Arabidopsis thaliana: one gene and its partners. The protein of the gene in region 1 interacts with the protein of each later gene in a pairwise test. Each region holds a gene or a part of one and is shown on either strand. Other genes may lie near its edges.

Region 1 (8,729 bases):
AGTGATTGTTGTACAGTGAAACTAGCCACCTTAAGCCGTTCATTTGGTACCTAAAATGTCAGGTTTTGTAGCTGTAAACATCCCACGAAAAACTATTACCAAAAGGTCTCAAATGTATAGGGGCATGGTCTACTTACTCTCTTAACTTTCCACCCACTAGGGACGATGGCTGCTCGTTAATATTTTCTTTTATACTGCAAAAAAAAAAAGAAAAAAAAAAGGAAAAATCTAGTGAATAGATGAATGAGGAATAATATCCACATATGACTATTTACAAACAACATAACCACCTTTTCGAGAAGAAAAAAAATGGTAAGAAAGGTGACAACTCACATACGAAACAGAAAGTTAAAACGTTATAATGTCATTAAGGGTAATGTTTAGACTGTAACTATAGAATGCAGAATATTACCTGTGAGCCATCAAGTAGTATTTTTCGTTGCTTTCCAGGTAATGCTGTATAGTATGTATCATAACCATGAGAAACAGATGGAAGAAAGCTTACCCAAAAAAAAAAAAAGGAATAACCTGAGATATAACTTGCCTTTGCTTGGTCGCTCTCATCTTCATTTTCAATCAAAGTTTCATCGTCGGTAGCATTTGACGTACGCGTTTCATCTGCCTCATTCTCAAATCGACTGGTCAACAATTTAGCCTCTTTTAACTTGGATCCAAGTTTCTGAAGGTACTTTTCAGTCTCTTTGAGTAGTTGCTTTACTCGATCTGACTTGGCATCCTACATATTCAGCAACATTCATATACACACCAGTATCAAAGGAGCAATATAAACCAAAAACTTCCATAGTCAGTTCCGAGACCAAACCTGCACCATTCGGAGATAACCCTCCACATCATTTATCTTTAACAAATTAATCTTCTCACGTTGAATTTTGTCAATCTTCTCACGGTGAAGTCGTTCCTTTCTTTTGTGGAACTCCTTTGCATATCTATTGAAACCCTTCAACCTTTCTCTCCTAACTTTAAACAAATCCTCTAGTTTTTCCCTAAAGCCAGGTTTTCAAACAAGGATTAAGTACGAAGCAGTATAAAAAATATCGTCTACTATTCGATGCACCTAATAAGAAGAATGAATTAGGTCAGAAAACTAATTGCACATACTTGTGAACTTCTAACCCTCCAAAGAACTCCTTCTGTCTCTCCCGAATTCTTCGTTGTCTCTCTTCCTTCATCTTCTGCTCATACTTTTCAAGCTGCTTAATTCTCCGGCCATGCTTATGTTTCTTATATGACTTTAGATGCTCAACATCAGTTGCAATAGGTTTGAAGAAGTTGTAAACGAACTCACTGATTCAACAAGTCAACAAAACAATAGCAGCTGAGAGGTGATACAACAGGTTGAATATGTGGATGCATATATTTTACACATATAACAAAATAGTTTGCATCCTCCGTAGTTTAACAAAGACAGAATATCTAGTTATATCAATACCCCAGCTCGACTTAGCATATAATAGATATAAGAAGGCGAAACATCTCCTTCCTAATATTTCTTAAGCAAATAACGTACAGCTACAAAAACAAAATATCTAGTTGCATCCGAGATATAATAAGGCGAAACATCTCCTTCCTGATATTTTTTAAGCAAATAACATACACCCACCTCCTCAATCGCCGTTGTAGATTTAACAGCTGAAGCTTTTTCAGTTCTATTACACTCTTGGTCTTTGCAGATATATCATCAGACAAACTCACAGATTCCTGCAGATTAGGGGTACATGAATCAGTATCCAGATCCAGAATATATAGTAATCACTAAGAACCTAATAAAGTAAGGACACAAGTACAGCTAGTTCCTTAGTGTTTCTGCAAATGTGAAGTACAACTAGTTCTTCAGTATAACGTCAAATGTGAAGGTCATTTCAAAAACATTACCCTAAGGCCAAAACAGCTAACTTCGCAGTTATTTACAATATGAAAATCGAAAAGAAGAACCCCACTACAGGAAGTTGTTTTTTAGTGAATTTTGTAAACTGAGCAAATAAGTGTTCCTTAATGGAAGACGAATACATAAAAGAGGTTACAAATGCTTGCCTAAATTCCAAGTACAACTTGCCATTATTTTATCTCACTGAGATCAAATTTAATATATTAGCTTGATCAAAATTGATTCCTGGGATCAGTCTGACAGGTTACAGTGGGTAGAGCTGAAGATGGAATAGCTAAACAATTTACTCAATCACAATGTCAGGCACTTCTATATCCAAAATCGGATACTTAAATATGATCATTGATCTGTTCCAATAACAAGATCAAGAACACGGAAAAGTAAGAACCACCACAAACAACAAGCAACAGCATAAAACGTTGACACCAGGAAAAATCAATCACTCGTGAAACAAAAGGTAACACCAATGAAAGAAAAGGCTAGAGAAAGACCTTCAACTCATTGAACCGTGAACCAATTGCCTGGTCGGCTTTCTGCTGTTTAAGGGACCAACTACGATCAACCAATAGTCTCTTATTCTGTCGACCCATAATCCATTTCTGTGACATGGTGTACTTAGGCGACGGTTGCAAATTACCTTCCTCTTCATCTGCTATGTGCCATATATCCATATTCGAAGAGTTATCAATCAAATTAGTTAACAATACTACACTCCAAAAGGGAAAGACCCATCAGTTAAAACAATCCCATCTAAGATAGTCACTAACCAGAAGAATGAAATTCGTCGAGTTGAACAGCAGAAGTTGAGAGGTCATTAGTTTTGATTACTCCAGTCCACCCCACCATCTCTGATGGTGTGTTTTTGGTCAAACCAGGAGAAAACGTTAGTTGAGAATGACTAACAGCAACCTGAGTTTGTGCTTGAGAGCTGGGAATTCTAGATGCTAGAAGCTTTTGCCCGTCAGAAAATACAGTATTTGCGAAACTTTTTTCCCCTAGTCTTGATCTCTCAGTTTCTTTGGATGAGAAGTCCATTTCATCCAATCTTCCAGTGGGATTGTCTGTTCTTGACAACAGTGCAGAGACGTCAGGAATGCCACCCAGATCACTGGACGTATGTGTTCTCCCTTTCGGATCAAACAATTCTCCGCGGAAACCATCTGTAATGAAGACCAATTATGATCCAAGGGAAAGCATGTAAAAAGTGGATTCGAAAGTAACTTCAGTGAGCACCAACATTACCTTCTTCGCGGAAAGTATTTCGAAGGGCAATCTCTACGTGAAGTTTCTTCGGTACCAAACCATTTCTACGAGATGAAAATCAACCAGAAATTTTTAGAGTTACAATTGCCGCACCAAAAGGAGTATACAGAGGCTAGGAGACTGTAAGGTACCTAAGAGCTAGAAACACAAGGCACTGGGCTCTGAGCTGCTTCAGTTGTTGCTCTCTAAAAGGTGAACCTGAAGGCAGGAATCCCTCTCCTGCAACATTATTTCCAGGTTCTTTATGAATTGCAGGCCTGATTGCTGTGGCTTCACTGCTCTGCCAGCCACACTGCCATAGAAAATAAGATCCCACATATAGAGGGGATGAGTTCCAACGAGGTATCTTGGTATGAAATAAAAGAGGAAAGGACATTTTGCAGAGCCTAAGTCAGACTATATGCAAGTAAGATTCAATACATCATATAGAAGGCAAAGTTTTAATCAAATCACGTTTTTGAAAAAGTGAATTTAGTGGCATCTAAGTTTTTTAGGTTAAAAAACAAAGAAAATCACCACGGGAAATGCAAGCATTTTTTTCATATTTCCAATACAGAAAACGAAAATAGATAAGAAAATAATACTTCTAAGGAGAGACAAATGTTTCGGAGAATAAGCCACCATGTGCCAGCATATATCTCTTTATACATTCTTAAGAAGTTATTGTGCATCAGATACGTGTAGCACAAAGTCCCAAAATATTTGAAATTGGCAGAGTCAGGGAGGCTCAAAATGATTTCATAAACCTAATGTTATGTACACAATATGTATATAATCTGGATGGATTCGGGAAACTTAGTGTTATGTACCTGTGGAGTCGTGAATGCATCTGAGGACAACCCAACATGCAAATTCCTAATGTCACCTGAGGTTTAATGGCAACAATTGTAGGGTGCTTCTTATATTCTAGATTAAAAAGGATATGCTTTGTTCTGTAAGAAACAATGTTGAAGCAAATATCCCTACCTGAATTACCGGGCATTTCTATTTTGCTTACTTCTCCAGTTTGATCATCAATCTTGTGGCTATCAAATATTTGAGAGTTATCCATATTCTGGTCCCATGAAAGTGATGATTCACCTCTCTTTCTCTTTCCACTCGACTTGACATCTCTTTGATTCATTGTCTCACTACGATTGTGAGGTTGAGAAATTCCAGACGTAGAATCCAAGTTGGATGGACTCTCACGATCAAATGATCTGTTACTTTGAGTTCCAGACCCTTGGTAAAAGGTTTGTGACGCACTGTTTGATCCACCAAGCTGCCTACCAGAAGTGAATGCATCGTATTTTGTCATCTCATTTTCAACTAGAGTTGCTTTACCCTCATTGCTAACTCCAACCGCTTGGGAAGACCCTGTATTCCACATTGATGCAAGAAGCTTAAGATAATAAATAAATAAATAAAAAAAACAATTGAAACACTCAACTGAAACAAAGGAGAGAGGATATACCAGCCAAATGTGCAGACCCAGAATCTTCCGTTTGGGTACCACCAGGATGAGGAAGACACGAGGACTTCAAAGCTTCAATGTCAAGACCGTGTTGATTGACTACAGTGTCCATGGCCCTGGGAGTTTTAGAAAGACTTTATCAGTAAAACAAAAGTGATAAATCTTTGAAAGCATGAGAAACAGCTTGACGCTGAAAGACCCAGAATAACTAGATTCTAAAGTCTTGAGTTAGATAAAGGCTAAAGCAACTGATTCAGTAAGAAGCAGCCCCCACGTCCTCACAGCGTAAGAAGATTATATCATCTCAACCTAATCAGTAATTCATTAACAAATAACCAGCGACGATATATAAGGAAAACAATACCTAGATATGACTTGATAGGGCATTGTGTTTTCCTTTCCACTGGTTTTCATGTGCTGCAATATCTAGAGTAATCGAAAGAATAAACAAAGTTAAAGCACAGGAATAAAGCTCAAAATTACAAAATAAAACATACACTGAGTGGTGAAGCCACATTACCACATAAAGTTTAGTTGCTAGCTTTGCAGGTTCATCTTTAGAATCTTGAATAAGTTTATGCAGAAACTTAGCTGCTTCCAACTCAATATTATGCGAAGAAGACGTCATCTTAACTTAAATTACACCATCACATAAGAATTCCCTGCATCACCACAAGCATGCAGATATTGATTACACAATTCAGAATAAAACAAGACTAATTCCAACCAATGTGCCCAAAAAAAAAAACTAAACTAAACTCTAGAGTCCATACTCCATACCAAACAAATAAAAGAAAATAGCCCAAGAGCAAGTAAATCATAAAGGAGGAAAATTTATGTACCTAAAAGCAAAACTAAAGCGAGAAGAACCTAACAAAAAAAAAAAACTCAGAGGTCCACAATTCATGTGATAAATCCACGGATACATACAAAATTGTAAAATTGGCTGATGGAGCTAAAAAATTCCCCAAATCGCAAGGCAAAGGAGAAGAATTCGCGAGTTACTCTAGTTAATGCAACTCACAAAACCCTAAATAGCTAAATAACGATCCATCAGTGTAGAAGGAGACGAAGAAGAACAAGAAGAAAGAGAGAGGGAGCTTTACAAATTAGAGATCCGGCTCGAGAAGACGAAGCAGAAGTGAAATTTCAGGTGAGAAACGTTGAGAGCTGACAAGTGAAGAAGCTATGCGTCGTCTCTGCGAAATGACTCTCCAAATGAAGAAATGTATAAAACTTATTTCAGACATTAATCAAGAGTTCTAAACGAGACCCCTTAATGGGCCTTGACCCATTACCATAAAGCCCAAATTGAAAAAGATAAGTTATATCACTAAAAGAGGGCGTGAAGAGATGGATTGATAGACACGGAAAAGAGAGAGAGATTTTGGGAGATTCGATTCGAAGATGTTCGATCTTCCAATTGATATGGAGGAGGAGGTGCTCTCTAGGGTTCCGGTGAAATCTCTGGGGAAACTGCGATTGACCTGCAAAAAGTGGAACACTATAACGAAAAGTGAGAGCTTTTTAAAGAAGAAACAGAGGAATGGAATTGAGGTGGTGATGATGATGGACTATAGAGTTTCCTTGATGAGCGTAGATCTACTCTCTCCGTCTATAGATCCTATAGGTAATCTCAATGCAGATGGAATCAAAATATCTAAAATCTTTCACTGCCAAGGGTTTATTCTTATGCATCAACAAGGACAGAGACAAAGACTCTTCTAGGGTTGTTGTTTGGAACCCTTATTTGGGACAAACAAGGTATATCGAATTACCTAGAAATTCTATCTACCACAAGTGCGTGAAGTACGCTCTCGGATACGAGAAAAAGAATCACAAAATCTTGAGATTCGTGAATGAGTACTTGGAGACCAGTAGGGACCGAATTCGTGAGCTTCAGATTTACAGTTTATACTCCAATTCATGGGAGGTCATTGATGATTTCACTCCAGACTGGTATATTTTGTACAAACACAGTGGCGTGTCTCTAAAGGGAAACACTTACTGGTATGCCCTAGAAGAGATCCCATTTCATGGTCTACCATCACTAGATCACCCTGATTTTCTACTATCCTTTGATTTCAAGATTTGAACCGCGTCTGCCTCTGCCTTTCCGAGCCGTATTTGGAGATACTGTGACGCTTGCTAGTGTTAGAGAAGAGCAGCTTGCGGTGCTGTTTCACCGGGCATCCGTCGTCGAGATATGGATTACTAATAAGATTGAGCCTAATGCAGTGTCGTGGAGCAACTTGTTATTTGCTGTTGATATGAAACCAGTCGCTGGTTTTTGGTTTCCTAATGTCGGTAGGAGTTTCTTCGTTGACGAGGAGAAGAAGGTCGCGGTTGTTCTTGATAAAGAGATAATAGACAAATGTCACCTTCCCGCTCGCAATATTGCTTACATCATTGGAAATAATGGAATCTTGAGTAAAGTGGATCTTGGCGAATCTAGAGACAAGTTTTGTTACCCACTTGTGTGCTCTTATGTTCCAAGCTCAGTGCAAATCCCAAACACACCCTAATCTCTTAATTTTGTTTTGTGGTGTTTACTTATCTCAGTTTTAGAGTATCTCTTACTATATAAGAGGTTCCAATGTAATCTTTCCGGTCCCAATTAAGATGAATGAGAATGAATTTGTTTTCTTTTTCTCTCTTAACAACCTTTTCTTGATTCGTTATTCCTCTAATAGTAAGACTGGATTCGTGAAAAAAATGTCGTTGTTTGTTGTTTAAGCATGTGATCTCAATTGCTATGATCTTAGAATATTATCATTTGACATTTAGAAGCGATGGAAACAAAGTAATATATAAGCATCAATCAGAATCGGTGAATATAAATCAAACAGCAAAATATATAACTATTTTTATTTCATAACATTACAACAAGCCACATGAAAAATAATAATTTGCAAACCATACAAAGAAAGAACGATATCAGAATGAAAACAAAAGAATATAATTCAAACAAAGTTTGATGGTCCTCCCAAGATTCATCATTTACCAATAATCTTTTCTCCTTGGTTCCCATGAACCGACATAACTACCTGCTGCGTCAAGAGCATCTAACTGTAGTTGATGTATTATCGCCATCTCTCTCATCTCTTTTTCAGCCTCCATTAATGACTTTATCCTTGAAGTCGATAATGAGCTTGATTCTCCTTCTTCTTCTCCTCCTTTTTTTGGCCCATTGTCTTCATTTGTCGTGCATGAATGAACATGTGTCCCATAGTCACATTCTTTGCAGTAATACACCCAAAGATTCTCCGACACATCTACTTCGCAAACATCACATATGAACACCACACCGTCCTTACGACCTTTGCATGGTGTGTTGTAAAGTAGAGTGAGTGGGTGTTCGTGATCTTCACGCTTCACGTTCTCGGGGACAAACGCACATCCCACGTGAACATGGTATTTGCACTCTGAGCAATGGTAAGTGAAAGCAGATCCATACTCACCGCACGCATCGCACGTGTAAGTGGATAGGCCATTCGGTGGAGAATGGAGCAAGGTCAAAGGGTGATTTGTGTGAGACTTGTGATGGATCTCACCGGGAAGGTCGAAACATGACTTGTGCAAGAAGTAATCGCACTCTGACTTTGTACACTTGAAAGCTTGCCCAATTAGATCATGTTCGCATCCGGAGCAAATGATCTCATCTTCTTCTTTGGAGTTGAAGACCCGCAACGGATGATTGTGACTCGGGTGTCTCACTGATGGACGGTTAGTTTTTCCTGAACCCATATTGTTCTTGATGGGATTTTGAGGCTTTGAGGGAGAATTGCAAACTATAATTATATATACCAAAAACTGAGGCTATTGACCAAGTTGTAGCTTAGATACATTTGGGAAACTATTTAACTAACATAGTATTAGTTTATAAAAGAGAGTTGACTTTGACATGGAGAAACATATATTGTAATTAACATCAAATTTTATATTGTTAGCAACATAGGTATTATATGTAGGGTTCTACTAGGTCAAAAATCAAAATCTCTCATACTCAATGCTTATCTTCTGCATATATACTCCATTGACTAGACTAGGTACGGGTTAATGCGGCTGACGTGACCAAGGAACTTTGTGGGGGATAATTCTATACGT
Region 2 (8,582 bases), on another chromosome or scaffold:
GCATGGATGTGACAGACAAAAACTTGAGGTTCTCAGTGATACAATTTATGAGGCAAGAGGGTCACACACAGTTCATAAGTCATAAGTAAGAGTGATAATTCCCTAATGATTCACATATACCAAATGACCGATCATATCGCATCTCTTCTCAGACAATGAAGAAGAAGAAACATGGAATCGTCAACAATGCATACCTCTCTTGGAGGAGGCTGTGAGAAGCTGAAATTAACTTTGGATTGAATAGCGAGCTTCACATCATCACAGTCAATGTTGGGTTTGCTAGCATGCTCTGAGTAAACCTGAGCATCTGTCAACACTTCGACCACATACCGGTACCATAACTCCAGAAACTGATGTATCACACGAGGCTCGTAGTCTTCTACACCCATCGACTTAAGCAGAGATTTCACAATCTTAGCATCTCTAGGTACATCTTCTTCACCTTCTCCTGCCATGTTTATCCCTAAACAACTAAAAAAAAAGTAAAGCTACAGAGTCAAATTAAGAACCTTTCTTATACAGAATTGATGTTGCAACAACACAAGTTTCAATCGAATCTCACAAGCAAACATCGTGTAACAGCAACACATTACATAAATCGAATAAATAAGAATTAGAGCTTCACGAATCGGAGATAAGAAAGACAAAGGAGATTCTAACCTAGCTTCATCAATAAGTTCCAAAACACAAGATTATATGCCATAAAGAGGCGATAAATACCTAATGCGAGAGAGAAAGTTTGGTGGAGAGCTAGTGGCAGAAACACGACGGAGAGATTGATGAACGGCGGCGAGGAATCGGGAAATACTAATCTCTGCCACTCTAGATCTGATATTTATGGTTTTGGTTTGTAAATCTGCTGTAACGTTGAGGGTGTAAATGTAATTTAACTAAAACGCTATTTATTACTAGTATTTTGTATTTCACTCGTGCATAGGCCCATTAAAGACCCAAATTAGAACGACGGTCGAATGTATAATATTAAATACCGATAATAGCCTCATTTCTCTTCCGTTTACTTGTCCGTGTGACCGTGTCTACGACGTTGAAATCGAAATTACCACAATGTCCTCGCCGGAGCGTGCTCTCTTGAATCTATTGACGGACATCGCTCTCTCCTTCGACGGCGCAATCCTCGGACTGACTTTAGCTGTTAGCGCCGTCGGTTCTGCTCTCAAGTATGCTTCTACCAACGCCGCGTTGAAGAAGATCAAAGATGCACCCGAAGTCTCCATTTCCGACCTCCGATCACTGCTTCCGGCTTCTGAAGACAAATCAGAGACTAACGATAACAGGAAGAGCAATGATCAGCGAATCGTTGTGGTTCGCGGAGTCGTCAAACCGAAAATTTCCGGTGATGAGGGTTACAAGAACAACAACGTGTTAATCTCTCCGGAGACTGGAGATAAAGCTCTTATCATTCAGAGAACGCAAACTGTACGTTGCTCTAAACCCTAAGTGTTTATGTTTCCCTCAAATTGCAATTGACATTGACCTAATTTTGCTTTGTGTTCTTATCAAAGGCTTAGGTTAAAGAGTTTGGATGATTTCTTCATGATTAGGTGTTCATTGTGATTGATTAAGTTAGGATTATGTAAGTTGGTACTGGTGTGATCTCAGAAGGGAAATGTATGTTTCTAATGTCATCATTTTGTTGTTGACAGTATGTGTATAGTGGATGGAAGAGATTGTTTCAGTCCACTGGTCACCGGTTTATGTTGGAGAGATCATTGCGCAAACACGGTGCTGATTTTACGAGAACGGTAAAGTCTCTCTATCAGCTTCAGAGCTTTCAACTTTGGCTCTGTATCCATGATCAAACTTGTTTTGTGTATCCTTTGCTTTGTGCAGGTCCCATTTGTCATTGTTGGAAAGGATCAGCAATCGAACTCTAGTTTTGTCGCTGTTAACATGGATGGCTCAAGGCAACCTCTTCCGCTTACCACTGTGTATAATCGCTTGCAGCCTATTAATTCTTCGTTTCTTCAAGCCTTTTTGTACCCCGATTATCCTGTGAGTATATATATATTCAAAGAAATTTCTGGTTTTGAGGAACTGATGGTTACTTGTTCTTGGCTAACTTTGTAATCCTTTCTCTTCCAAGGTTGGTCTGCTTGATATAGAGAAGATTTTACCACCTGGGAAAGATATAACAGCTGTTGGCATCTACAGTTTTAATAATGGAGTTCCTGAAATCAAATCGTGCCAAGATCTTCCTTATTTCTTGTGAGATTTTATCTGAATATTTTTCGTTCTTATATATCTGCCTGCGTTCTAGCTCAAATTATTACTTCATCTTCTTCTTTATGTTTTCTCAATCTGTTGATCATTTGACAAGATTTAGTCCATTGTTGCAGAAAGGCTCTATTTGCTGTTCATATATAAATCTTTATGAATAATCTTTGCAGATCAGAGATGACCAAGGACAAGATGATTGAGGACCTTATGGAACAGACCAACTTTATATTCTTGGGCAGCGTTATCTTGGGCATTGTGTCTGTTGGCATCCTTAGCTATGCTGCTGTCAGGTACTGGAGTTGTGAGAGATCAGATTTGGTTTTAGATTTGGGCAATGTTTCGATTTGAAATCTGTTTAACTGTCTTATCTTCAGGACCTGGAATAAATGGAAACAATGGAACCATCAGAGAGAACTGCCACAGAGACCGAACGATTCTGTGGTCGATGATGAACCCGAAGATGCAGATGAAATCCCAGATGGAGAATTGTGTGTGATCTGCGTGTCAAGAAGGAGAGTACCTGCGTTTATTCCCTGTGGACATGTAGTATGTTGCAGGCGATGTGCTTCAACCGTGGAACGAGAGTTAAACCCTAAGTGTCCAGTTTGTCTTCAGAGCATTAGGGGATCTATGCGTGTATATTACTCTTAGTGACCCTGAATCTTCTCTCATTGTATGTAATAGGGTAATGCAATTTGTACTCTCAGAGAATCGGAAGTTAACAAAATAGTTTGACAATGATTTGAAAGTTCGTCAAGTCACTCAATATAGAGTGAGAGATTGTAGAGGATATGAAAGCAAAGTTTTTAAAAGGAAGAAATTTTGTAACCGATAACATAAGTAGCCAAGGATGACTTCCCGTCATGTATCATCACCAGTCTCCGGAGTTTAGCCTGAGTTCTCTCGGAGCAAGGTCTTCTCATGTGCCTCAAGTCCCTGACATGAGAGCTGAGGCATGGTGTGTTGACGGATAACCTGAGAATCTGAACTGCGGGTTTTGGAACATGTTGATACAGTTTGAATTGGAGCTCGGTGAGATCGAACTAGACCCGATTCCGCTTCCACCACCGTGAGGGCTCATAGAGAAATTTTGTCCATTTGCCATTTGAGAAGAACACAGTGAGTTTGATGATTCTTGAAGCTTCTTTGTATTGAGGAAACGTCCACCGGAGCCTCTAGCTCTCTTTAAAGCATGAAGATGGCGAGACTCATGAAGGTACGGCTACAGAAAAAGAAAACAAAACTTTATTACATCAAATCATCAAGATCTTCTGAGTTAGTTTTCCCTCTTTCTCTTTGGTGTTTTAGGCAAAATGGAAAGTGAAAACAGTCATACTTTACGGCATTTGATGAGTTTGTTCTGAGCTTCGAGTTTAGCACGGTGCTTCCTGCGACGGAGAATCGCATGATACTGTTTCGCATTGACAAATATTGGTTCATTCTCTTGAATGTGATGAGGCAATGGCACTCTTGAAGAAACCAAACCCATCATCTCTAAATGTGGCAGCGCCTGCAAAAAGATTTCCCAATCAACCAATCAATGCGCCAGATCGATTCAGAATAGTAAAAGCACAAAAGGCTTCACAGCATATTACCGTTGGTGTTGATGCATATTCAGGAGCCAAGAAACCATTGAAATGTGACGTTTCAGCACATTGAAGAGACCAAGATATTTGACCAGAAGTAGGAGCAGGAAACACAGAGTCTTGAGACACCATCGACGAGGTAGTAATTGACTTAGTATAATTTTCAATAGGCTTTCCCAAGTTTTCGATGTAACCTGAGAGATTGTTATTAACAATGCTGCATCCATAACGCTTATATTCTCCAAAGCTTGCAACTTCACCGCCGCCTGATTCTTCTTCAGTAGATTGTGATGAGGTTGAATCTTGATTTTGCAGCTGCAAACCCGAATGTTTCATCGCGGGTAATTGTGTTGTAGACATTATCATATCCTTAGTCAAGCTGAAAGATTCAGATCCTTGAATATTTGAATTTGTTGTAGGCATTGAGTTTCCCCAAGATGAATCTTCTTTCCTTTGAAACACTTGCATTGTCTTCAAATCTTTACTTCAATAAACTAAATGTCCAAACCAACAAGTCCAGTCATAAATCATATGATATTATTCATGATCCACATAATCAACAAATACAAGAGAGAAATGATACCAAAAGATTATAAAAGCAATCCTAAAACACAGATTCCAGGTTCAATGACACAGTAAGATTGTTTCATGATCTAAAGGGTTCCAAAAGATTCAAACTTTGAACATGGCTAGAACTTACACAACATGCAAACAAAAACTAAAATCGACAGATTAAATTTCTGAGTTTGAACAGATAAAAAAACTCATCAAATCTCATTGAACTTAATGATCCAAGAAAACAGAGAAACCAACCAAAAGATTTTTTTCTCTCATAACTCAAAAATTATTATTTTTAATTATATCATCATAAGTAGAAACTGAGCAACCAAATCATAACATCACTACCAAATAAATTAAGCGAACAAGAAGAGAGAGAGAGAGAGAGAGACCTTTGGTGCTTTGGATTTGGTAAGAAGAGATGGAGAGAAAAAGAAGTTAAGTAATAAGCTTGAGATTATGATGATGATGATGATGATGAATGATGATGATGATGCATGTCTCCTTCCTCAGAACATGGTTGTTTCTTTCTCTTCACTATCTTTCTCTCTCTTCCTCTGTCTCTGCAAATTGGGTATTGGCTATGGCTTAAAAGACTAATCTTGACTCCTTTTCTCTTTTTTTTTTTTTAATTATGGTTTTCTTCTCTCAACAAATGCATATTTATTCACACACAATTTATTAAATATTTTAAAATATTATTTTGTTTCCATTTCTGAATTTATTTGCAGAGTTTGACATTTCTATTTGTGGTATTTTTTCTTATCTTTGTTTATATTGTTTATGTTTCAAAAATTAAGTATATCGAATCAAATCGTGTCACGTAGTGCTTTTATAATTTTCAAATCAGGTTTAGTTTTATTACAAAACAAAATAGAAATATGTAGGCAACAATAAATAATAGAAAAATCTAGTAAAAGATAGATATAAATTTAGAAGTGTGACGCGTGTATAATCTAGACAAGGCTAGAAATATATCTAAATATATAAATGATAGTATTAAAATGTTAGGAAGGAAAATAGAAGACAAGAAAAACCAAAGTAAAAATGTTTATGGTAAATATTTCCATTTATTTCAAAGATGTTTAACACCTTTATTTTTATGTTCATATCAGTGATGTTTTATCAATTTATATGCGATTCTATTCAGCATATATATTACAAGGTTCAAAGATTCTAAATAATATATAGAGGGTATCTGAAGTATCATATTCCTTAATTGTTTCATAACAAAAATGTGCAGAATTCTAAAACATTGTTTATATAGTTGAAGATATGTAATTATGTATTATCTAAGCGTACTTTTTTTTTCTGTCTTTTTGTTTTTGTTTTTGTTTAAGAAGGTGTTTTTTTAATTTAAAAAGCAAAAGTTTAAGTGGAAGGTTGTCAACATCTCTTTATAGCGCAATCAATATAGTAGCATTTAAGCGAATAAATTAAAAATATTTTATATTTGTAGTTGGGGTAATTGATATTATTGCAAGTCAAGCAAAGCAAAGCAAAGCGAAAGAGCCCTTTTTCACATTTCTTGATGCAGCTTCCCCAACACAAAGCAGCAATGAATCGTAATTTCTGCACTATCTCTCTGCATTTAATCCACAACTCTGAATAGTAATTATAAGGAAGACAAAAAAACACTATAAATACACTCCAAAAGAAAGAATATAGTATATAGCAACATTTCTATTTCTTGGACACCTATTTGTAGTTCACTACAATGACACTTTGTTTAACTAGTAATAATTGAAGTAATACGAGACTTTGTATTGTGGGGAAGATTAATTGTTGTTTGCTACACGTACCTTTTACTTATTTGCTTTAGAGAAAAGAAATGCGTAACTATCATGCTTCGAACGAGGGAAGTTACAGGTGTTACTTCAAATATTATTATTATATATCAACAGTATCTAGAAGTTCTTAGAAATCAATTATTTGATTTACCTATGTTTATGTTTATAGACTTACTTAAACTAATATTTTCAAACACGACAAAGTTAATATTTTCGAATCTCCCCTAACCTCGATCCTTAACACACCGCAATAAGATTTATATGCATTTTAGGACAAGACAAGACTAAACCCATTATTAATCTAATAGTTCCAAATTTTAAACATTACGCTTTCAAATCCAATCATAGACGCACTCCACTTTTTCCCTACCATGTCTTAACACGTATATGTAAGATTGAACTACAATCGTTGATTTTCCTTTTCACAAATGAAAAAGTTTTTTTTCCTACCTAACTGTTTTTATATAAATAAAACAAACTCCACACAGAATATGTCATACAACTAAAAGATTTAACGTTAAAGTTTGAATAGGGAGACACAACAGAAGTGAATAAAGAAATGAGATCAGCACGAATCTAATGTAAAATCTAGTCTAATACCTAAACAAACTAAATCACCATCACATCAATTGTGTTCATTTTAGAATAAAAATGAAAAGATTCGGTGCTTTGGAAATAAATAAAAATAAAGTACATTAAATGAAACCAATTCCATCAGCTCGAGACCTTCTCTTGTGCCACCACCATTCATGGTTTTGGCCAAAAGCTAATAAGAGTCTCTTCCTTTGTATGGCATCTCCTGCAATAAAATCAAAGATGTCAGCAAAATCTAACTCTGTTGATCATTTTTTTTTTGTAACTAGACAAAACAAGAATTTTGAAGTAAAGTAGTAAACCGGTTGGTATGGCGTTGGCGGCATGAACAAGATTGGTCTCTGCTGAGTAACCATCATCGGTTGTGGGTACTGTTTTAACATTGATTCCAAAATTCAGTCTTACAATAGAGAGAAGGTAAAGAGTTTTCAAGAGTAATGACTATTAATAGCAATAAACAAACCTGTGGACTATTTGGAGAATAATATGTTTGATTCGGACTAAGCTGTGTTGTATTGTTATACATCATTGGGTGTTGTTGCCCAGGGAATGCTGCTCCCGTCTGTCAATTTTCAACTTAGTGAATCAGAAACATAATAACAGAGACTTAAAGAGTAATTTAGGCGTTGATCACTAGATAAAGAATAAAGAAAAGTTACTCCGTATCGAATATGTAGTCCTGGCATGGGTGGAACAGGAGGATAATAGAATGATCCGTCAAAGACTGGAGATTGAGGAGATTGAGGACGTGTTGCTGATGGAGATGGTTTGAAACTCTTTGCGTTAGGGTTCAGTTTAAATTCCTGGTCGGACCTAATTTCGTTAGTAAAAAGCTTATAGTATTAAGGAGATATTAGATGATAACCTAAGCACTAAGAAAAAAACCTTAGCATTTGGGTTGAGTGTGGATTTTTCTGATGATAAAGAACCCGAAGAGCTTGGTGACAGTATTGGAAGATTTGATGCTGAGGAAGCTGCAGAGTTTTCTGAATTTCTAGAAATGGAGCTTCCAGGCCACCCAGAAGAGTTCTCAGACTTTGCTCTGTCAGAGAGTAGACCGAGTCTTCCATCAATGAAACTTGGCTTCACAGGTGGTGGTGCATCTTCATTGAGGTGGCAATTAAAAACTTAGTAGGAAATTCAATTGGTATCAACATATAAGATGAAACGGGAGTAGATAGATTCGATAAGCTGAAGTTGCACATACCTTCAAAACCAGACACTGATTCCTCAGATGGCTGCGTTAATACAGATTGAAGCCAACAGAACAGTGTTATATGTAATGTTCCATTAAGCAAATGCCAAATCAACACAAGGTGCGTCGTTTAACTTTATACCTTTTTAAAAAGGGAAGCCCCTAGGAATTTGCTCTTTCTTTGCTCACCAAGCTGGCTCTCATTCCTATCAGAATGAGTTTCAGAAACTAGTTCAATGAAAGATATTTTGTATGTTCAAAGGGAAAAAGACCTGATGTTGTTTCCTGCAACAGGAAAATCTTTGGATGGCAGTTCGGACATAAGCTGGCGAGTATGCTTATTTGAGTTCGACCAGCTCTGATCTACCATTTTGTTACTCCGTAAATGCAGGCTGTCACCCTGAAGGACAAAAAATGGCAATATCACCTATGATTCTCCTAGAAACTACTAGGAGTGAAGAACTCAACCATACCCATGAATCTTCATAGAATTTGCCAGTTGAAGCAGGTTCCTTGCCATCAGAAGCAGAAGAATCACCAAAAGTCAAATTGTTGCAGCAATCCAATAATATATCTTCTTCTTCTTCTTCATCGTCTTCATAACACGTATCATCAAATCTA
Region 3 (8,053 bases), on another chromosome or scaffold:
TAATAATCCCCTTGGGACTGAAGATCTACCACATGACAAGTCTCTCTGGTCAACAGTCTCAAAATCCATAGATCGTGAACCTCCAGCATCATAAACCGATCCAGCACTAGAGCGGACATCATTGTCTGCAGAACTGTGAGGTTTCACATGTGAAACTGAAAATTTTCCATAATCATCCTCGTCACTGTCCATTTGACAATCTTCTAACTTGATATTTTTTCCAACAAATCCAAAGATTCCCTCTAGAGAAGTAACAGCACTGGATATATCCACGAAGGATGACAGGCTGCATATTTTCTTATACTGAAAGAAGGCCCACCTACCAATGGAGGAACTCTTCCTAATAACCTGCACGAAGGATTCTTGAAACTATCAGATTTGAATATACCCATTACACATTAGCCATACAAAGTTCCAAGAACAGAGCAAGCGAATAAAATGAGTGACACGGTTGATGCTCAATACAGGGAAAAATAATAACTAAAGCCCTACACAAATAAATAACACGCTAAGAAAAGCAAAGGCTACTTATTTTGATTCTACACTACTCAGAGGATTACCATTTCTAACAAGCAGCTCGTTAGACTGTTTGATGCTTCTTGTACACCATTCAACCCTTCTGCATTCTTACCAGTAGCCTCTATATTGTTAGAACCTGTCTGACCAGAATTCTCGTCTACTTCAGGTTCAATACTAGCGGCATCAATATCATTAATCTTTTCTGTCATATGAGTAATGAGATACCTCCCCGTTGCTACATCCTCCGTGGATGAAGAATTGAAGAATCCGAAACAAGTGGCAATTGATTTTTTAGGGAAGTTGAAGAATACTTTCAGTAAAGCTAAAACACGAAACTGGGATAATTTGATCAAAGGTAACGAGTTTCCATCTGAAAGTTTTTGCATCAGCTGAGAAAAAATTTCGTCAGGATCTTGCAACTTCAAATCGCTCTTATCAACTATCTGGAAGATATTTTTCCCCTCAAAAGAAAGCACAAAGAAGGTTAACACATTTCTGAACACGGCAGAGCAGATATCTCGAGCCCCTGGTGATGACGTTTTCTTCGATAAAGCAGCAGAACATAGGTCAACTAGACCAAATATGCAGGCTTTAGCAGTTTGAAAAGCAACACCATCAGCATCTTGTCCTCTCTTTAAAGCTTCCAAGCTGAAGTTATGCATGTCAATAACAGCTTGCACTGCATCTCCAATAGCCGTAGGACAGTACAATGCATATCGAGGAACGAGATCAGCCACAAGGCGCTTAACGCTAGTACAACCTGCAAGTATAAGCAACTAACTAAATCATTACTCCAACTAACTAAATCATTACTCCAACAAACTAACAAAAATTACTCTAGGAGGTGTCCAAAGATTAGAATCATAATGCTAGAGCTAATGAATCTGTAACCCTAATATTCACTTAATTCAGTTAAGAAGTATTCTTTCTCATACAAAGTTATCTAAAACCACAAAACTCAATTTCAGGAAAAAAAAAAAAAAAATGAGCTCAATCAACTCCGGAAAATGGCAGATTCTCAATCATCCAATTGATAGAACTAAATCGAGCTAAGAATGAGAGAAAATAAACCTCTGGAAGCGGAGATGAGGGAGCGATACGCTTGCTCAAGATTCGCAGAGCGGCCGCCACCATCTCTCTGAGCAACACAAGATTTAAGACGCTTATAGCAGTCATGCACTCTTCGAATCTCTTCTCTGTTCCTACTTCTCGTTTGAATTTCCTCCTGAGATGGAGGCGACGGTGTCACCGGAGCCGGGAACGAGCTTACCACCGTAGAAGGGGATTGGGATTCTAGTTGCGGTGGTGGCGGAGGGTGAGATTCAGGGATTGACTCATACAGACGACGCTTTTTGATAGGCTGCTCGGCGCAAGCCATGGCAGCGACGGAGAGCGAGAGAGAGAGAAGAGAGAGTCTCGGTTGCTGTGTTTGTCAGTTCCGTATTTTGTTAGTGTTTAAGACCCTCTAGCTCGCGGAGAAGCTTCACGGTGGCTAAAGGCGATCACGAATTCACGATACGGTTTGGTTTGACTAATAAAGCCGAATCGCTTTTTAGAACATCAAGCCAAACCAAACCGAAACTAGGAACGTGTTCAAGGGATGGTATTTAAGTAAAAATTTTGGATAAATTGTTTTTTTGTCAACATATAATAGTTGTATTTTGATAATTTTTGAGTTTTGGTATTTAAAAAAAAAAAAAAAAAATGAGTTTTTCAAAATCATGGAATTTGAATCTTTGCATCTTTAATTAAAAAAACATATAGCATCTAATTAAAAACAACTAATAAAAAAATTCAAAGTATACTAAATGAAAAAACAATATTTCAGTTAGAGATTTGGAATTGTGTAGCTTCTAATATATCGTAATGTTTAGTGAAGAGCTGTAATTTTTTTGAATGGTAATAGATCAAAGTTTGGGAGGTAAAACGTGTAAAAGCATAAATTGGGATGTATAGTTAGTTTGTTACAGTCAGATGTTTGGGATAACTTTATGAGTTCTAAAACCTAGAATATAAGTGTTAGCCTATAACACCTAATTTAAAATTTATGATGAATGACACAAAATTTGTTATCATAGCAAATTTTATTTCAATGTTTGACTAAATTCATCTTCTAAATACAATGGAGAGAAGATGTCGGAAAGAAATGCAATGAAAGGTTAATAAATCAAAAATCAAAACGTTCTTAGTCGATATTCATATGAAGGACATCTTTTGAACGTACGGTACGTGGCTTTGCGAATGATATCAAATCCGCTTGTTATTGGACGTTTTTTCCATTGATCGATCACATCGTCGCACAGCAGAACGATTTGTGCGGTATCATCACATATTCACAATCACATCTCTAGACTCAAATCATAAAAAATTAAGTGGCCAAAAGAAATTGTAGGGTGTTTCCACAAACACTTGTTTAATTAGGTATTCAAAAACTTAACTTTTTAGACACAAGTTATGTGCTATTCACAAGAATTAAAAGATTAATTGTGCCAATATGCACCTTATGTCTGAATATGCACTGATAAAGTGATAATGATAATCAACAATATGAAGTAACCACTAAAAAAAAAAAAGTTGATATACATCTTTTATCATGAGTTGCTATAAAGTCGGTCGAATAAATCAATATATTTTTTCGAAGATTGGTGAATTTTGGAGTCGTACGAAACATAACCGAAACCCTGGCATAAAATAATACAATTTTATCTTTGTTTTCAAATTGCAAAAGGAAAGACGATTGTTATTTAATTAGTCTGAGTTGACTTTTTCATAATTTAAAAATATAATTACAAAAAAGAAAAGAAAAAGAGTACCAAAAGTTCTTAGAACCATAATGACGAAAGAGACAAAAGAAGTTAAGAATAATAAAAATATCAGAATGAACAACAAGAAGAAAATGGTAGGATCTTAGCGTAGATCTCTTTAGTTTGGCTCAAATAGGGATATATATGTTCTAAATGGGTTTCTTTACATTGACATTGTAACTTGTAAGTCCTTCACATAAGCCGAGACAAAAGGTTGTGATGGAACCCCATGTCCAGGCCGTTGTAAGCCAATGGTGCGTACATCCATAGATCATCCGAGCTCAACAACTACATTTATAAAATATGCATTTTGGTTAGTTAACTTGAACATGAGTTATGATAAGATTCTGACTAAAAACAAAAAATCCTTTTAACAATCTACATACCTTAATCTGAAGCTGCAAGAACTTCACGTAATGGACCGCTTCTTCAAGCATCGTGCTTATATCGACTTTTGTCCCGTTTGGCACAAGGTTTTGTAGTGTCTTGAGCCTTTCGTTAATCTTCTCTCTTCGTTTCTGCAACAATTGATAACACACTTAAGAACGACTTTACTCATTGTCATTTGGTTTTGAGACCGAAGTAATATAAAGTATGTTTTCTAACCCGAGCATAAAGGCTTTGAGGATCAGTGGCTGTCCCTTTGGTGGCTCTAGTTTTGCCTTTAACACTTGTGACCGAAGCTTTCTCATCATCTGAACTGTTGCTTAAACTCTGACCATCTACCCAATTAGTGTTGCTCTCGTCAACTGTATTGCTTTCCGAGCTTACCCTCTGTTTTTTCTTGGATTTCGCAAGCTCCTATATCCCACAAATTAATGATATTTTATTTAGTTTATTGCGTAGTAGTAGTGAATGAAAGTAAACATTATATATTGGATCTTCCACTTACTTGTCTTGTGACGTCACAGTTAGAGTTAGTTTTGCATAGATTCTCCACGTCAAGTAGTTTCCTCTTAAGAGAAGACGTTTCTTGGAGGTGATGACTTTGATCCCAAGAATCAAGCATGGCCGGAAGATTTCCTCCCGGCATTGCACCAAATGGGAACATATCAGGGAGCAAGAAAGCATGATGATCAGAAGATAAGACATTGTTATGGTGTTGATGTTGATGAAGATGACCATTGTAAAGGCTAGAGAGGCCAAGCAACTCGTCTCGCGGTCTCTCCTCTTTAGATGATGAACATTGATCAAAGTTGAACATCCCCAAGAGAGACTCCAATTCACCATCAACAAAAACGTCCATCGCTCTAACTGATCAACTCTTGCCTTTCTTGTTGTTGTTGTTGTTGTTTGTTAGTTTGTTGTTATGATAATTCTTGAACTTGTGCAACTATATATATATATATATAGGTTGGAGACACTTGATGATGGAGAGAATATTTCTCAAGGAAGATTTGGTGATGATGAAGAGAGATCAAGAGATTCTTAAACTGGTACAATCATTTGTGTCGTGAACAAGTCGTTAATTAAATAAGTGAAACGAAGCCATGCATGATGATGAACACGATCAGTCAACTTGTGGGGTCGACAACAACAGGCTTTGTTCCTTCACGACACATTAACATATTCTTATTTATAACTATCCATTCATCTCAATTAATTAAAATACATTATGTATAAGATGGTAAGAGATTAGTATAATAATGAGAAAGACTTTACATTGGCCACACAAGAGAAGCGGTGAAGTATAAAATATGGCCACGCCAATGCACGATTTGTGGAATCATTATCGCAAATTCAACAACACTAAAAAGAACAAGAAAATAAAAAGAAACTTTTAATCCATGCCGCTTTTTACCTTAAATTACTAATTGTCCGGTAGGTCTCTCTTAGCTAATTTTTTTGGAGGCAGCATGATATATATCCGGCGTCGATAACTAACTTATTTGGATGAAGCTATGAGCTAAGAATAATAATATATGAAGAAAAACTCATTCGTAAGAGAGTGATCAAAAGCCATGGTGATATTTTGCCCTAACACACTTATCGATACCAAAAACATACAGCTGTAATGGATAGATTGGTAAATGAGTTATAAATGAATAATTCACGTTGAGTCTTAGCTCATTTTAAACACAAAATGTTACTATATACATTTGTGGTCTTGTGTGGGGTTTAAAACCATACAACACTAGAAGGGAAGAATAAGCCATAAACTATACTTTAAAATGTTAAAGTGTTAACATTCGTTTGTTCATGTGTTAAAGTGTGAACATTCTTTTGTTATATACTTGAAAATTCCGTTACTTCGAGGACTTTCAAATTTATAAGCAAATAAGGCGAATTCAACACTTTTATTATATATAAATGCATGGTATTGTAGTTGTATACTTGTATGTATTATATATAAACTCAACACCTTATATATACACATAAATTAATCTAGTTATGGGCATGTGAAAAGAATAAGCTAATTTGTATGTATTATAGTTGACTGTTTGCTAAATTTTTTTTAAAAAAAGTTATCTGAGCTTGTTATCTTTTTGGTCCGGCTGGGAGGCAAATTGCCTTATAAGTTATAAAAGGTCAAGTAGGTATGCATAATCGTACAAAAGATAAATAAACATAATTAAAATTATATTAGGACGGCACAGAACAGAGTTGGAGATTCCGACAAGATGAGATTCAAACTCGTTTTTTGTCTTAAGATCATCCCCACATAAAATCTTCTTTATCAGTTTTTTTACAAACAAAAAAATATTCAAAGAAAATAAAATCACAGCTTGAAGATATGTTCAATTGTCTCTAAGTTTCAAAATTTAGAGGACGGGTTACGGTACATTGCACCTTACGGATTTGCCTATCTGTTTCATTCATTCTTAAGACTTATAACTCCTCTTAACATTCCAATTCCGTGAATAATACACACGGGTTCAAAGAATGTGTCGTAATTACATCATATCGTTTTATACTCTTATGGTATAATCACATTTTAGTTCATTATCAATGATTTGACTTGTACGAACTGTTGTTTTTTTAGCATGCATATGTTATGTATATTAAAATGAAAAGTGAAATGTGGTGGCATGATCACTGCTCGATTTCTTGTCTTGCTTAAAGTCAGAATGTCGCCATATTCATATTCCATTGGATTTAAGGACAATAATCGTTAGTTCTGGTCCGATATTATAATAAATCCGATGTATGAGAATGCTTGGTAGATTTTAAACTTCGAATACGACGAAAAACTATACATAATTTACATACGATGGAGTAACTTGCACTTCTCTAATATCCCTACAATATGAGATCGTTAATTTACAATTATTTTTATTTTTGTATAAGGGTTTCGTTATTCATGCATGTATTTTAATTTTTAAGTTATTCATGATCCTAAGTTAGGTTATTCATGACACAAATTGCTTTTTTGTATATAAGGGTTTCGTTATTCAATCAGTTCTTCTTCTTTTTAAGTCAACTAGAACAAAATAAAAATGAAAACCTTATACATATATAATTTCAATCCTCAGTTTCTGTTAAATTATTTGACAGACATAAATAAAACCCCTGAATATAATATGTATGCACATAATCATTTACTCCTAATTATAAAGACAAACATATCATCTATAATTTAATTGAGTTCATGTAAGAGAAAATGTTAATGTGTCAAGCTGAGAACCACAGAGCAACTCAAGGAAAATACTTTTTGTTCACTAAAATAAAACAAAAGAATTGCTTCTAAGTGAGATTTATTGCAAGAATATCATTCAGCACATTAATTATATTATTACTAAATAATTATGCTCTGCTCTTTTAAATATATTTAAGTTAATGTCAATTAGTTTTGTTTTGAATAGAAATATAAAAATATTGATAAATCGTTCTTGAAGAGTTAAATGTATATGAACTAATTGGATTATACGATTATATCTATGATTCTATAAAAATATTGATAAATCGTCAAGATTTGTTTCCCAGCTTTTCCTTTTTATGTTAAACAATTAATCAACCGCTAACTATATACACCGCGTTTAGGTTTTAGGTTTATATATCCCTTGTAATCAAAGATCATGATTCATGAATGTATTTTTTATTCTGCGAAAATAACTTAGTTGAAAAAGTGGTTTTTAAATCCTTTTAGTCTTCATATAGTAAGTCTTTGATTCTTCTAAATGTCAAAATGAAATGGAATAACTCAAAAACTTGTAAAACTTTAGAGGTTTTATCCACCATTGAGAACTAAGTTAGTTAGTTAGTTCTCAATGAAATTAGATGTCGAGTTACTGGTCCCAAGTTAAATTTTATCATAAAGATATGATTTACACATTATTAAGTATTTTAAAAAGTTGATCGTAGATCAAGCGAAATTATTAGCCAAAATTATGCATTTGATTAATAGTTATCCCCAAAATTTAACATGTGAGAAAGACGTAATGTATTATGATTTAACCACAAATTTAACAATTTAAAAATGCATAAGTTACTTGACAATTGACACACATGCATGCACACACAGAGGAGAGAGTTCTTTTTCATGAGAAACAAGAAAACGAATACGATCATAAGAGAAGAAGTTAATAATGTGAAGAGTGGACCCAAACATTTAAGCCCAACGCGTATTACCCAAAGAATAATGACTCCTCTAACCCAAGGCCCTACTTGAAATTAACCAATCAAAATACTCATTTTCTTCCCATTTCTGATTGACTAATATTCTAATCCTATATATATGATGATAATATGAGTACTTTTTTACCCATTGGCTCAACTAATATATTTTACGT
Region 4 (7,238 bases), on another chromosome or scaffold:
TTTTCGCATAAAAATATAGTTTCTGTTAGAAAATAAAAGTATATTAGCACGAAAGAATGGAAACTAAAAACTCTGAGACCGGCCTCTCCAATGAGTGACATGAGTCGATGAATACTCAACTATTATGTTTTTACAGTTTACTTATCCACAGATGACACTGTTTCTTTCTACTGTGAAAAGAGCAGCCGTGGTGCTTACACCTCCACACGACACCGTTTAAACGGAAACTAAAAACGACGTGACGTTCTTGTCTGAAACACTTAAACGACGCTATAGTGTACTGTAACTCCAGAGAAGGCCTTATCTTTCTCCAATTCTCAAAACCCTCTTTAACACTCTTCCTCTAAGCTTTTTAAATCAATGGCTTCCACTTCCACACTTCTTCTTCCATCTCTCTCCTCTAAGAATCTTCACATCGCAGTCCCAATAAGAACCAATAGCTTCGTTCGTCGAACAACAAAGTTCTCAACAAAATGTTCGTCGAATCCAGAGTCAAAGGATCAATTCATCAATCTCACACCAGCACCTGAATCAATCAACACAACAAGCGCAGAGAAATTCCCAATAGAGAAACGAAGAAGATCAGAGATCATACGAGACAGAACACAAAGAGGAATCGAGAAACCAGAGCCACCAAACTTCGAAATCGGTTGGAAAAGAACAAAAGAGATAAACTTGGAGAAACCTAAAGGTTATGTAATAATGGATTTCTTAGAAAAGTTCGAAGCTTTAATGGCGAGAGAGTTTGGATCAAAGGAGCTTTTAGCTAAAGCTGGTGAGATTGTTGCAGAGAGAGCTAGAGAAGAAGCTGAGGTTTTGAGAGATGAAGGTAAAGTTGAAGAGAGAATGGTTACAGAGCTTTTTAGGGTTTTGAAATTGATGGAGATGGATTTAGCTATGGTTAAAGCTTCTGTTAAAGATGAAACTTTGAGTCAGAGGATTGAACAAGCTAGAGCTCGGTGTCGACAAGCTATTCTTGTTGCTAATTCTTTCTAATTCCTTCTTCTTCTACTTGCAAATTGAGTCAAAAGTCTATGAATTTTGTTTATAGTTTTACACAAAACAGAGCTTCTTCATCTGTAAAAGATCTTATTTTTTTGGTTCTGTAATCATCTCTGGATCATTCATCTGTTACTTTAATGGTAGAAGAAGGATTGAAGATGAGAGTCTCATGTGAAGAATCAAAACAAAGATTCATGCTTTTGGTTTTGCAATTTGTGAGGAAGCTTAAGGGTTTTTGGGAGGAAAAAACTTAATTAGTTGAGAAAATTTTACTTCCACTAGTTTCATATTTCAAGATATTTCACCAAGACTCAAGCTTTATTGTACACCACACATTAAAAATGCAAAGTTTAATCATTTTAACAAAAGCTTCACAAGCAGCAGTAGACAGCAACAATGGTGGCAGTCAGATTCTACGCTGTAGAGATGTCGCTACCATGTTTATGTCCATGCCCATCATCGCCGATTTCTCTTTCATTGTGTTCTCCGAGATTCAATCTTCTTAACACAACAAGCAGGAGACTAGGTTTGTCTAGAAACTGTAGAACTCTGCGAATCAGTTGTTCATCTTCATCTACTGTCACTGACCAAACTCAACAATCGTCTTTTAATGATGCTGAGTTGAAACTCATTGACGCTTTGATCGGAATTCAAGGCCGTGGCAAATCTGCTTCTCCTAAACAGCTCAATGTGTGTAAAAACTTTAAACTTTCTTTAATTTTCCGTCGTGTTTATGATTTGAGAGATTCTCTGTTGTAGGATGTTGAATCTGCTGTGAAAGTTCTTGAAGGTTTAGAAGGCATTCAAAATCCTGTATGAAATGTTTTCTTGTGAATCCTTTTATCTTCAAATTACCAAATTCTGTTATGTTTTGTTCTTTGACTCATTTGGTTGTCTTTTGGGGAATGTTGTTTAAATGTTTAGACAGATTCTGACCTAATCGAAGGTCGTTGGCGATTGATGTTCACCACAAGACCTGGAACTGCATCTCCAATCCAAGTCAGTTCTTCTCACACATTCATCATCATATCTCCATTTTTTCTAGATGATTGTAATTTGTGTGTAAGAAGAAGAGCAATGGAAGGATTTGTCTCTGCAGAGAACATTTACAGGAGTTGATGTGTTCACTGTGTTTCAAGATGTATACTTGAAGGCAACAAACGATCCTCGTGTTTCAAACATTGTTAAATTCTCTGATTTCATTGGAGAGCTGAAAGTTGAGGTGAGTTTCTTCACTAAAGTCTTTGCATCAAAAGACTGAGATGTTTATACTTTGAATTGTTTCATTTTACAGGCAGTTGCGTCGATCAAAGATGGGAAACGAGTTTTATTCCGTTTTGATAGAGCCGCTTTTGATTTGAAGTTCCTTCCTTTCAAAGTTCCATATCCAGTTCCTTTTAGACTTCTTGGTGATGAAGCAAAAGGTTGGCTAGATACTACTTATTTGTCGCCTTCAGGTAACCTTAGGATTTCTAGGGGAAACAAGGTAAATGAGTTTCTTGATTCTCAAAAAGAAAATTAAAGCTTTATAGCATTTTTATCCATGAGGCTGTATATTTGTAGCGCAGGGAACAACGTTTGTTCTTCAGAAAGAAACCGTGCCTAGGCAGAAATTGTTAGCCACCATATCTCAAGACAAAGGAGTAGCTGAGGTAATGTGTCATGCCTTCAAGAAATCTGAAAACAATCGATAGTTTCGGTTTGAAATGGAACCAATGGATCGTTTAGTATAAACACAGGCTATCGATGAGTTTCTTGCGTCTAATTCTAATTCCGCGGAAGATAATTATGAGCTTTTAGAAGGAAGTTGGCAAATGATTTGGAGTTCACAGGTCACTTCTCTGATAACTTTAGCTTTTGTCTTGAACAAGCACTTATATTCGTTTGGATAAGCGATTTTTCGGGTTTTGTGTTTGCAGATGTATACAGATAGTTGGATTGAAAATGCAGCAAATGGTCTTATGGGAAGACAGGTAAACATTTTATTAGAATGTCTTAGGTAGTCTATTGTTGCTTCAGCTGGCTTCGTTTAGCGAAATCGAGTATCTTATTCAGATCATTGAGAAGGATGGGAGGATAAAGTTTGAAGTTAACATCATTCCGGCATTTAGATTCTCCATGAAAGGCAAATTCATGTAAGTCTCTGTCTTTTAGATTAGTCATTTTGCTAACTTTTTTGTGATCTTGTTTCTTGACTGGTCTCATGAATGATTTGCAGAAAATCAGAAAGCAGTACATATGACTTGAAGATGGACGACGCAGCAATTATAGGCGGTGCATTTGGATATCCGGTCGATATAACAAACAATATCGAGCTAAAAATTCTGTAAGATCTCTCTATCTTCTTCTTCTACTACTTTCACAAATCACAACATATAATAATGCATTTGAATTGCTAATACAGAGATGCTTACTTTAATGTTTGTAGGTACACAGATGAGAAGATGAGGATAAGCCGAGGATTCGATAACATTATCTTTGTGCACATCCGAGAAATTTAGCTGCATTGTTCTATCAGAACCTCTTATTTGAACATATGAAAAAAAATAGTATGTAAGAAACTGTCAAATGTTTTACAACAATGGAAGGTGATAGTTTAAATTTTCTCTGTTCATTAGTTTTTTTGGATGTAACAGGAACCAGAAAAAACAAGAAACCACATGATATAATTTTCGCTACTAATGTCTAAATTAAGACAAAATTAACATTAAGAAAACTTTACTTTTTGTCTTAATCTTAAACAAATTCACTGAATATTTCTTTCTACAAAGAAAATACGAATATCTCACTAACAAAGGAAACTTACCACTAACAGCTTCTGGTGGCATTAATTACTCTGTAAATTGCCATTTTTTCACCGAGAGAAAACTAGAAAAACAAAACAAAACATGGAAACTGTAACATTCTAAAAGATTCATTGTTAACAAAACCAACAGAGAAACATAATACTGATTTTCCAGGATTTACTCCCTCAAATCTCTCCTTCAAATACTCTTCCTAATCTCTTCTGTTTTCATTTTGCTTGTTCCCTGCGAACATCTCTCTCTCTTCCTCTGTTTCTTGTTTTTTTGTCCTTTTCTTGATTTTTGTATTTTTTTGTTATGGATATGGACGAGATGAGCAATGTAGCCAAGACAACGACAGAGACTTCAGGCTTAACTGACTCTGTCTTGAGCCTCACGAAACGCATGAAACCTACTGAGGTTACGACCACCACAAAACCTGCCTTGTCCAACACGACGAAATTCAAAGGAGTTGTTCAGCAACAGAACGGTCATTGGGGTGCTCAGATTTACGCAGACCATCGAAGGATTTGGCTTGGAACTTTCAAATCCGCTCATGAAGCCGCTGCTGCTTACGATAGCGCATCGATTAAGCTTCGAAGCTTTGATGCTAACTCGCACCGGAACTTCCCTTGGTCTGATTTTACCCTCCATGAACCGGACTTTCAAGAGTGCTACACGACAGAAGCTGTGTTGAACATGATCAGAGACGGTTCTTATCAACACAAGTTCAGAGATTTTCTCAGAATCCGGTCTCAGATTGTTGCGAATATCAACATCGTGGGATCAAAACAAGTCTTAGGAGGAGGAGAAGGTGGTCAAGAATCGAACAAGTGTTTCTCGTGCACGCAGCTTTTTCAGAAAGAACTGACACCGAGCGATGTAGGGAAACTGAATAGGCTTGTGATACCTAAGAAGTATGCAGTGAAGTATATGCCTTTCATAAGCGATGATCAAAGCGAGAAAGAGACGAGTGAAGGAGTAGAAGATGTGGAGGTTGTCTTTTACGACAGAGCAATGAGACAATGGAAGTTTAGGTATTGTTACTGGAGAAGTAGCCAGAGCTTTGTCTTCACCAGAGGATGGAATGGTTTCGTGAAGGAGAAGAATCTCAAGGAGAAAGATATTATTGTCTTTTACACTTGCGATGTCCCCAACAATGTGAAGACATTAGAAGGCCAAAGCAAGACCTTCTTGATGATTGATGTTCATCACTTTTCAGGCAACGGTTTCGTGGTTCCCGAGGAAGTAAACAAGACGGTTCATGAGATTTCTGATGAAGAGATGAAAACAGAAACCCTCTTTACCTCGAAGGTAGAAGAAGAAACCAAATCAGAGGAGAAGAAAGGAGGGTTTATGCTGTTTGGTGTTAGGATCCAATAGCTAGCTACTTGGTTCTTAGGTTTTTTATATTATAACTTAATTAGAGTATGGTTTTTATTTGCTTTTGTATTACATAGTTTTTTTATTTACAAACTCGATGCTTCGATTTTGATATCTAACATTAATTAGATAAATTGTCTCTCTTGAGTAGATCAAAAAAAAAAGAAGAAGAAAAACCAAAAGAGGCTTTAAATTCTTCTTCTTTTAAGAGTTAAGACAAAAGCCACTTAACTGCTACAAACTACAACGAACTAAACAATCCTAACAAAGACATTTAGTTAATGTCACAAAATGAAATAGATACAACTCACTTCTCTCTCTATACACTCCTTAAGAAGAGGTGAGTCTCCGCTTACATCTCCTTCGAGTCCCATCGCCCTCTTTGTCAGGAGTATCTTCTACAACAGTTTCTTCTTGTACAACCAACCCTCGGTTTCTCGATAGTTTTCTTATTGGTGTTGTCTGAGTATCTTGTGTGAAGTCTGCTGATGCAGGGGCTGATGCAGCGGGACAAGAAGATGAAGCAACTGCAGTTTGTCTGTGTGGCATTAGCTCCTCGCCCAGTGGCACCATTTCAGACATCAACTGTTTGACATATATCATCACATCAACATAAATCAGACATCTTCAGGACATAATTTAACAATCTAGAGAACGAAATGAGATTCTATTTTATTACCTTCCAATCTTTGAAATCTAATCTAAACACAAAATGGTTATAAATGACTTCACCCGACATCACCACGTTTGCATCAGGTGCATTTCTCGGCACTGAGGACACATTAGGAGATCAAGTATAAGTGAAACGAATTAAATATCAAAACCAGACACAAGAGAGTGGACTTGTGATCTTACTGGCGAAATGAGAACCACTTTTGTCGACAATGATCTCAACTCGTCCATCTTTGGCCAAGAAAGATAGAGCAAACAAATTCTCTACAGTCTGTGCAAATGACCGCCTGTTGAGCACCAAATTCTCAAGCTGCACGCGCTTCTTTTTCCCCAAGATGTTAAACATTATTGTCATATTCTTGTCTGTATCAGTTTTTTCTTCTGATTGTGAATCATCTACCTGGTTATTATTATGCGTATGCAAATCAGCTTGTTTATTTCTTATTAAAACCCTAACTACATAACAATCAACAAGCTCCACACAAAGCATCGCATCATATTTCACAGATGGCGAGGGCTTTTAACTTCAGTATGTTTTTTGTACTCAAATCAACTATATACAATTTCACATTGGATATCATGCAAACGACTATTAAACACCACTGATCGATCAGGCTGGGATAAGAAAAGCATTCAATGAATCTAGGCAAGGTGTTAAGATGTGCAGTCTCAAAGGAGAATAGGACTACAGGTACAACATAAGTGGAATCAGTTTGATAAACTCAAACAAAATGGGGTCTGCAAAACATTTCTTACCTCATCTGGACGAACACCTTCACCAGGCTTTGTACGTTTTCTGTTGGGTGCCCTTTTCCTTTGCTTCAGTTCAGTATCCATAGGTCCCAACCTGGTAACAAAACAGGTAAACAAACCTTTGTTTAAACAGAATATACTCAATTACAGCAAAGCAAATCAATATAAAATAGTTATTATGAGAACTCACATTGTAGAACAACCACATGATACTAAAACAGTAGAACAAACAGCAAACCCAAGATCCTTCCACTTTAAAGATACTTGAGCAGTTTCATCAGTATCAATCCCCAAAGAACCTTGACCAAACCCACTGATCAAAGCATTAACAAACTCAGCCGGTGAAACCCCATGAGCAGACTGAGACTTCACCGATGACATTAAAGTGTTTGCTATATCCAGAAGTGCCTCTGCGTCTGCAATTTGTTCCCTAGGCTTCCGAACTACAAGAAACATTGTAACCAAACCAAAAAAAAAAGGTCTTTTCGTTAGTAATACAATACAACTTGAGAAAATCATAAGCTCCTCGTCTATTGCAACCTTTGTTAACTCAAAAGACATCAATTTCACTAAGTTAAAGCATGTGATTTTACCTTGTTGGTGCAAGTTTTCAACTGCATTAATAATTCTGGAGAATTTGTCAGA

What was found.
Region 2: the proteins of SYD (region 1) and NF-YA5 interact in a two-hybrid assay, tested with the Arabidopsis thaliana proteins (one large-scale study listed by BioGRID).
Region 3: the proteins of SYD (region 1) and RSL4 interact in a two-hybrid assay, tested with the Arabidopsis thaliana proteins (one large-scale study listed by BioGRID).
Region 4: the proteins of SYD (region 1) and AT1G51120 interact in a two-hybrid assay, tested with the Arabidopsis thaliana proteins (one large-scale study listed by BioGRID).

The regions. Positions count from the first base shown.
Region 1 is NC_003071.7:12,053,292-12,062,020, reverse strand, and holds the start of SYD (P-loop containing nucleoside triphosphate hydrolases superfamily protein), read right to left. Parts: upstream 5,251-8,729; coding exon 5,143-5,250; intron 5,049-5,142; coding exon 4,987-5,048; intron 4,739-4,986; coding exon 4,623-4,738; intron 4,526-4,622; coding exon 4,136-4,525; intron 4,035-4,135; coding exon 3,979-4,034; intron 3,462-3,978; coding exon 3,301-3,461; intron 3,214-3,300; coding exon 3,149-3,213; intron 3,067-3,148; coding exon 2,674-3,066; intron 2,559-2,673; coding exon 2,398-2,558; intron 1,720-2,397; coding exon 1,622-1,719; intron 1,306-1,621; coding exon 1,120-1,305; intron 1,005-1,119; coding exon 824-1,004; intron 737-823; coding exon 545-736; intron 457-544; coding exon 413-456; intron 195-412; coding exon 138-194; intron 51-137; coding exon 1-50. Other genes in the region: AT2G28270 (Cysteine/Histidine-rich C1 domain family protein), read right to left, coding at 7,623-8,369. UniProt on the Arabidopsis thaliana protein: Catalytic component of the chromatin structure-remodeling complex (RSC), which is involved in transcription regulation and nucleosome positioning.
Region 2 is NC_003070.9:20,214,415-20,222,996, forward strand, and holds NF-YA5 (nuclear factor Y, subunit A5), read right to left. Parts: upstream 5,039-8,582; 5' UTR 4,775-5,038; intron 4,319-4,774; 5' UTR 4,293-4,318; coding exon 3,834-4,292; intron 3,808-3,833; exon of another isoform or gene 3,749-3,807; coding exon 3,575-3,748; exon of another isoform or gene 3,547-3,574; intron 3,461-3,546; coding exon 3,167-3,460; 3' UTR 2,922-3,166; downstream 1-2,921. Other genes in the region: TAFII21 (TATA binding protein associated factor 21kDa subunit), read right to left, coding at 195-455; SPL2 (E3 Ubiquitin ligase family protein), read left to right, coding at 1,066-1,437, 1,665-1,763, 1,852-2,013, 2,105-2,226, 2,409-2,528, 2,613-2,889; CID3 (CTC-interacting domain 3), read right to left, coding at 6,939-6,971, 7,069-7,137, 7,230-7,328, 7,426-7,569, 7,652-7,869, 7,974-8,004, 8,104-8,167, 8,234-8,361 and 1 more. UniProt on the Arabidopsis thaliana protein: Stimulates the transcription of various genes by recognizing and binding to a CCAAT motif in promoters. Involved in the blue light (BL) and abscisic acid (ABA) signaling pathways.
Region 3 is NC_003070.9:9,651,269-9,659,321, reverse strand, and holds RSL4 (root hair defective 6-like 4), read right to left. Parts: upstream 4,848-8,053; 5' UTR 4,570-4,847; coding exon 4,216-4,569; intron 4,125-4,215; coding exon 3,930-4,124; intron 3,842-3,929; coding exon 3,710-3,841; intron 3,612-3,709; coding exon 3,516-3,611; 3' UTR 3,233-3,515; downstream 1-3,232. Other genes in the region: AT1G27750 (nucleic acid binding protein), read right to left, coding at 1-348, 561-1,279, 1,591-1,897. UniProt on the Arabidopsis thaliana protein: Transcription factor involved in the regulation of root hair elongation. Is sufficient to promote postmitotic cell growth in root-hair cells and is a direct transcriptional target of RHD6 and RSL1.
Region 4 is NC_003070.9:18,933,982-18,941,219, forward strand, and holds AT1G51120 (AP2/B3 transcription factor family protein), read left to right. Parts: upstream 1-4,109; coding exon 4,110-5,168; downstream 5,169-7,238. Other genes in the region: CRR41 (potassium/sodium hyperpolarization-activated cyclic nucleotide-gated channel protein), read left to right, coding at 361-996; AT1G51110 (Plastid-lipid associated protein PAP / fibrillin family protein), read left to right, coding at 1,399-1,692, 1,762-1,815, 1,927-2,001, 2,102-2,224, 2,297-2,488, 2,571-2,654, 2,742-2,834, 2,922-2,975 and 3 more; AT1G51130 (Nse4, component of Smc5/6 DNA repair complex), read right to left, coding at 5,499-5,753, 5,848-5,939, 6,024-6,240, 6,597-6,687, 6,784-7,036, 7,187-7,238.